Linked DNA regions of Oryzias latipes. The protein of the gene in region 2 interacts with the protein of the main gene of each other region in a pairwise test. Links are inferred from orthologs where the notes say so. Each region holds a gene or a part of one and is shown on either strand. Other genes may lie near its edges.

Region 1 (3,824 bases), on a different chromosome or scaffold from region 2:
CCAAAAGTATGTTCATTAGTGTGCCTCTCCCGGCATGTGTGGGAGGAGCTACCGTCAAAAGTATTTAACCTCACTGCTAAATTGAGGATACAGATGAAGTCGAGAGATCAGGTTTATTTATTTTGAAGAGCTCTACAAAAGCGTCTTTGTGTCTTGGTTCAAATGGTCATTGAAAATTCTCCAGTTCAGTGACTTTCACCATCTACTGCTGGAGCGGTGTCTGAAATACAGTGACTTTCAGCGGTACTTCTGTCTCTCTGTGACCCAGTTTAACGACTTGTTTTCCCACATTAGTCCAAGGAAAGAAAAAAAATTTGAGTGACCTTTTCATTGTATCAGGAGAAATAAGAAAAATATTAAAGTTCAGGAAGAAAAAAAACCCATCAACAATCAGATTCTCCTCCATGTTGGGTTTGGACTCCACCCAATATTTACATCATTAACATGAAACTGCCCAAAGCCAAGTTCGTGATTGGTTGACGTGGTTTGAATTTATTGACAAAGTTTAAATATTTCAACTCTAGAAAAATCCAAATTTTCGGCATGTCGTGTTGCTGCACTCCCAGAAATACGCAACCGCTAGAGAATAGCTCTACGCCCGGCGCTAAAAGTGTACCGAAAGGCCTCTCATAGGGGCTGTGCATTGAAAAAAACATTGAAACTGGATGCCCCTACTGCGTTGAAGAGTTACAGTAGTGTTAAAGGGTTAAACAAGCTGTAGTAGATACTCTACATGTAAATGCCTTTATATTGTTTTGACGAATATTTATATACATGTATATTCTCATTTTCTATTAACTTGGTTTTTATTCATTAGGGGGTTAAGAATTGCTCAGTCAGGTTTCTAAACATGAAAATGTCTTATCCACACATTTCCATCAGCTCTCAAATACCAGCTGATAATAAACAGGCTTTGATAAGCCAGGCTTGTAGGTACAGTGTCATATCTACCAATTATCCTGCAGCAAAGCCACCATTTATAAGCCCTCCTGTGTCTGAGAGGCGCCTACCATCTGCCTAATTTTCGTTTTTGTTTGCTGAAGCACAGATAAAGTTGTGAAGGTGGAGAGGCCCGGGAGGCGGTGGCATGCGTGCTGTTGAGCTGCCTTCACAGCGGGACAGAAATGGCAAAAGCAAAGCAGCAAGGGCAGAGGGTGCAGACAGAAAAAAATGGAGGGATGCATTGGTATATATACACAGATATATACTTGGAAAAGAAGAACAGAAAATGTTAAAGCGTGCCATCTGCATGGTACAGAATGATGAAAGGCACCTGTGGATTTGTCAGTGAGAACAGTGTTTCCTCCTCTTGTTCCTCAGTCATTAGCCTTCCTAAGCACAGTTAACACGCTCATGGGGGCTTTGTTCTGACAGCAGAGGGCTATTGCTTCAAAGAAACCCCACAGCTGGTGGAAATTCATGAGGCGACAGGCTGCTCCTCTGCAGTGAACTTGGATGTGATAATCCATATGCTCAGAAAGAATCGGAGTCCTCACATAGCAACTACATCTCTTCACTTTGCTAAAATGAGATGCTGCAAACTCTGATTCACTGTCACTGTGTAATGCTGCTGGATAAAGGTCTTCTATTGCTTTTAGTCTGATTGCATTGAATGAGATGAGGAGATTCTAAAGAGTAAAATTCCACAATGAACATACATTTTAGTGAACACACAATTACCTAAACGCAGATGCCTTCTCAGGTTCCTTCTCACCCTAGCAAAATGTGCATTAGTTTGTGTATATGTGTGGGTTTCCATAGACGTGTATAAAAATGTGTGCGGTCAATAGTAACATGAGAGCTTTTTTGTGTTTGTGCAGATGTTACGGTGTGTGTATGTGCGTGCGTGCATCCGTGCGTGCGTACTTGAGCAAAAAAAAACAAAAAAAGGATCAGCCGTTTGGTAAATATTTGCATGTGTTAGTGATGATAACCCCTGTAACTTTTGAAACCCCTTTTTTTTCCTTTTGCTGTTTTATGTCCTTGGGATTGATGGGATTGATGATGAAAAGGCCATAAGTGAGAGTATTGATAACTAAAGAGACTCTATGAGGGCTTAACTGCCAAAAAGCAAATCATTTGATACGATCCAAGAAAAGAAAACTAAAAACACTAAACCCCTGTGAGAAACTGACCTTAGACCAACAAAGTTTAGAAAACTTGAGTATATTTACTGCTTTAACCTCACAACTGTTGGTTTCCAGCCGTCTCTTACCCTCTGTTCCTCTGCATTCAGGCCACAGTCGCAGCCTTCGCAGCAAGCGAAGGTCACTCTCATCCTCGGGTGGTGGAGCTACCCAAGACGGAGGAAGGGCTGGGCTTTAACGTAATGGGTGGCAAGGAGCAAAACTCCCCGATTTACATCTCACGCATTATCCCAGGGGGCGTAGCTGAAAGGCATGGTGGCCTGAAGCGTGGCGATCAGCTTTTGTCTGTCAATGGGGTGGTAAGTTTGACCTTATCGGTTGTTTAAACCCTTTTAGGAAAGGGCAATAAACCTAAAAATAAGGAACTGCACGTTCTTTGGTTTAAAAGACATTTGGAAAACTTGACTTCTTGTCAAAATGTTGTTCCGCCCCTTGAGGGGTTTCTCAACGCTGAAAGTTTCATAAGAATTCCCACTTTTCTTCACCTCTGTGGCCCCTGCAGAGTGTCGAAGGAGAACATCACGAAAAGGCGGTGGAGCTGCTGAAAGCGGCCAAAGACACCGTGAAGCTGGTGGTTCGATACACCCCCAAGGTGCTGGAGGAGATGGAGGCTCGCTTTGAGAAGCTCCGCACGGCGCGGCGGCGTCAGCAGCAGCAGCTCCTGATGCAGCAGCAGCAGCAACAGAACCTGAGCTCACAGCAGAATCACATGTCGTAGGTGAGGCGCTTCATTGTCTTACGGGTGGTGGGAGGGATGGGGGGCAGAAATAAACATGAGTACATTTGTGTAAATATAGTATACACCATCAATGTTCTGTATATTCCATGTACTTAACATTTCTTAACACATAAATATTGAAAATGGAAGGACCTGCAGGTTCTGTAGTTCCTTATAAAATGCTCCCACCATGTTCTGATTTAAATACAAGCTCTTTCTTAAATACAAATACTTTACACCTCCAAAGCGCAGCCTGAAACATCGCTGGTGTTTTCTGGAGCAGCCAAAGTCCTTTGTGAGAAAACACTTCTACTCCCCGTTTGTTCTCCCAGTGATTCCGTTGTAAGGCTTGTGAATTATTCAAGCTGAAACTGATTACATCTGTGGCTCCAGCTCTGCAGGTGCATGGATAAGCAGGCACAGCCACGAATGTTGCCGTTTGCCAGCTGAAGCTGGATGCAGTGCAAATTTATAATGAAGCTCCGCACTGTCAGTCAAAAGTAAGCCGAACTTGGGGGTATGCAACCCCAAAAAATAAAAAACCCTGACAGGCTTCAGTAGTAGAGCCGACAAAATCGTGCAACCATTAAGCAAAGTCACACGGTCTGGTACCAAATGCTGTGCAGACGTTTTGAATTGTTCAACTGTTTCCCGGACATATTTGATTCCGCCGTTTGTCCAAGATCTCTGTGTATTCGTTGCTTTGAAGCTAAAATCCCCCAAGCATATCTGTTGCCTTGTACTTGGCAGCATGCAGCTTGGGAAGGTATTTTGGAGCTTGTAAAAGGGGTGGGAGCTGAGCTGGGATATGGTTTTATCAAAGCCAGCATTCCGACCGCCGGGATCTGCTTTGGCAGCCAAGAAAACCAAAAGACCATTGCGGTTGGGGTGTTGGGTTGGCTCCCTGATCTAGCATGAAGGCATTGCCCTCAGCTTTTTTTCTGCTCTTCTATCAACAG
Region 2 (3,445 bases):
TCCAATTTAACTACATTGAAAAAATGTCAGCTAAAAAATGTCAAAGAAAACGTAACTGTAGAGGTGTAAGTGTTTAAAAGTGTTTGAAAAAAATCAAATGTATAGGTTTCAAGGCAAAAAACACAGAGCGTTCTATTTCATGAAAGCAAATTCAAAATAAATCTGGTAAATTTTCTGAAAAATTCAAAGATTACAAATGATTAAACAACAAAAAAAAAGAAGAAAATTCCTTTCACAGCACAGTCTTTGCTTCAGTGGTTTGTAATGCATTATTTAAAAAATTCTTACCCTTTTACCCAAATTTGATAAAAATAACTTCAAAATGTTTTCTTCCACTAGTATGACCCTAAGCTGACAGACATTTGGAGAAGAAGCCCACCTCCTCCCTATGACACGTGTCCTGTGATGCAGCCTAATGGATGGAGGACGCCCAGAGAGCCTCCTCCCCTGACTCCGCCCTCAGCGCCCGTCAGTCACAATCACCACTGGAACACCTAGAGGTCACGCAAATCAGTGTTTGGATGAACCCAACAAAGTTATTGCGTACCGTTTCCTTGTGCCTTCTCAAAAAAATGTCAGCGCAGTGAAGAAATAAATAAAAGTAAAAAGATATTCTGAAAAATTTTAATGTTTTCAAATGGAGGTCAAAACTACAGAGTTGTCGTCCAAATGCATCGACGCGCCAGCAGAAGCATCGAAGCACCAACGGGTTTCCTCATGTTTTACTAAACACTCTTTCTTACGGTACAGTACTTACGGTTGGAAAGGAAGCTTCAATAATTACTGAATGAGTTGCCAGAGTTTTTGAAGGTACATCGAAGGAGGTGAAATGTTCTATTCGGAGAGTTTCCTTGGCTTCTGAAACGTGTTAAGGCAAAAGTAAGCAGAAGTTACAAGCCACCAGAAGTGTTTTAGTACATCAGAGTAACTAAACAAACAATCGGAATGTTGGAATGGATTCGTTTCCCTCACCTTTTTTCTGTTGGAGCTCTGAAACGTCTTAAGCTATGTTCACACCGGTCTTTGCGACGCACGTTCAAGCAAGCACTTTCAATGAAACGTGTATGTTAATCCATGTCTATATTAGGGGTGTAAAGACTATTCGATGAATTGATTTCTATTCTTATGCTCTAACAAGATCGATCTGTTTGAGGCAAGTTTTAATCGAATCGGCCTAAACCATTAATACGAAAAATAAATGAATAAAAAATAAAAATCGCTTCAAAATGAGCTAAAACGATAACTGAAAATGCCATTTGGATTGGGATATGATTGGTTTATTTTACTATAGTGCATCTCAGCGGACAACACATGTGATGACAGGAACAAAAATGATTTGTCCACCATTACAGTCCAACATGTGTGTGGAAACACTTTGAATTTAGTAAAGATATGTACAGAGTAGTAGAATGTTTTAATATTTTCCCTTGGGATGAATTTGATGTGGAAAAACAAAAACTTTATGAAAATAAAATGTGAATGGATTTGTTGATGGTTCTTGTTTACTTGTTTGTACACATATTTCATTTGCACTTGATTCTCTTGCAAGAAATACAAAGGAATCTGCTAAACTTCGCCTGCGCTGTTCAGTACCACTTATTTGTCTCGGAGTCACACTGGTTGAATTTATGGCTAAAATGTCCTGGATGGATTTTAGGTCAGAGAATCGGATCGTTCAAAAGGAACCAAAATGGGCTATAAATTGCATTAGCAACCACAAATTATGATATGAATCAAATTTTTGGTCAAATTAATCGTTACACGTACATGTCTATGTACATGTTTCGGACTTCAAGACTCATGTTCATGCCTCACTACCCACGTTTTAAAGAGTCTACGTACAAAACACGCAGCCATTGAACGCGTGTTGAAAGTTAAACCATTTGAACTTTGACCAATCAGGGACTCAGACTTGGTAGTGACATGTAGATGGCGTTGCTTTTGATTCACAGGAGTGCCAATCAATTTGATTATGGAGGAGAAATTAATGATTGCAGTTTGTCTTTCAAAGTCTTTCGCATCAGAATAGAACTGTGAAAGAGATTTGCCCTGCATCGACATTTCAACCAAACCTCTTCCTACTGTGCGCTGGTATCGAGTAGCGACAGTCCAGAGTGAACACCGTATGCTAAACGCGCGTCACACGCCGGGTGTGAACGTAGCATTGTTGCTACGAATGATCCAAACAAAAACATGAATCTTTTGCAAAGACAGAAACGCTCATTTGCAACAAACTGATTTGTCAGAAATGTGCCGACAGGCGGCTCTTCTTTGTGTTTCCGTATATGTATTGCATGTATCTTCAGTTCTCTATTGCTGGTCAGCTTTCAAATCAGCAGTGACACACGATTAAGCACATGTCCAAACGCACAAAATCATACAACAGCTTTAAAAAATACAATGCCACATTTGGTGTCTTCTCACACTCAGCCCTACTGATCAGATGTAAACGTCACACTATAAAGGCTAAAGATGACCTCCCAGAAACCTGCAAAACCTACTGACGATCACACTCTCACTATTGCACCACACCTGATAATCCACGGAATAATTCAGTTTCTGTAAAATTAAATACAACTTGACATTAGGTCAACAGATGAAGTTTGTACAAAAAAGCTCTACATGAGGCTGGTCGTTTGCACAGGATTGCGATGCTCGGCTCCCCCACAGATTGCAGCGAGGAGACTCCCCCCCTCCCCAGGAACAAATCGTCCTCTCATCTGATTCACTTTGCTGGTGAGCTCTTTGGGGGCTTTCAGAACACCCAGCTGACCGGGACCCACTGATGCTCCATCGTCAGCTTCTCCAGTGCCGACCGCAGACCGCGAAACGCCGTTTCCAGACCGTCGTTCACAATGCAAAGGTCGAAGTAATGTCCGTAAGCTCTCTTAATGCGCTCGCTCTCGTCCACTGTCCTCTTTAGCTCAGAGTCCTGTAAGGAGTAGTTGGAAGAAAAACATTTAAAAAAAGGCAAATATTCATTCATTCATTTTCTATTCCGTTTTCTCCCTTTCGGGGTCACGGGGCTCCTGGAGCCTATCCCGGCCACTTGTGGGCGAAGGCAGGGTATGCCCTGGAAAGGTCGCCATTCTGTCGCAGGGTAGAGTGTCCACAATCACACACCCATTCACTCTCACACCTATGGACAATTTAGAGTTGCCAATTAACCTATGAAGCATGTTTTTGGACGGTGGGAGGAAGCCGGAGTTCCCGGAGAAAACCCACGCATACACGGGGAGAACATGCAAACTCCACACAGAAAAGTCCCCCATTGATGTTCTGGTTCATGTCCCCCAGCCGGGACTTGAACTGGGGATTGATTTTAAGATTCTTTTAATAGTTTTTTAGACTGTCCATGGCCTTGGTCCTTCTTTTATATCAGACTTGCTTTTAGCTTACGGAACTTCCAGAGCCCTTAGATCCTCAGGCGCAGGCCTGCTGATGG

Evidence for each region.
Region 1: the proteins of MAGUK p55 subfamily member 2 (region 2) and lin7a interact in binary tests that used the Homo sapiens proteins (3 or more experiments, as listed by UniProt). The two-hybrid records come from large-scale screens. The link is inferred for Oryzias latipes from reciprocal best matches to the Homo sapiens genes MPP2 and LIN7A.

The regions. Positions count from the first base shown.
Region 1 is NC_019881.2:19,161,161-19,164,984, forward strand, and holds part of lin7a (protein lin-7 homolog A), read left to right. Parts: intron 1-2,236; coding exon 2,237-2,446; intron 2,447-2,649; coding exon 2,650-2,861; coding exon of another isoform or gene 2,862-2,865; intron 2,866-3,824. UniProt on the Homo sapiens protein: Plays a role in establishing and maintaining the asymmetric distribution of channels and receptors at the plasma membrane of polarized cells.
Region 2 is NC_019877.2:4,338,505-4,341,949, forward strand, and holds the end of MAGUK p55 subfamily member 2, read right to left. Parts: intron 2,933-3,445; coding exon 2,756-2,932; 3' UTR 609-2,755; downstream 1-608. UniProt on the Homo sapiens protein: Postsynaptic MAGUK scaffold protein that links CADM1 cell adhesion molecules to core components of the postsynaptic density. In CA1 pyramidal neurons, required for synaptic KCNN2-containing channel function and long-term potentiation expression.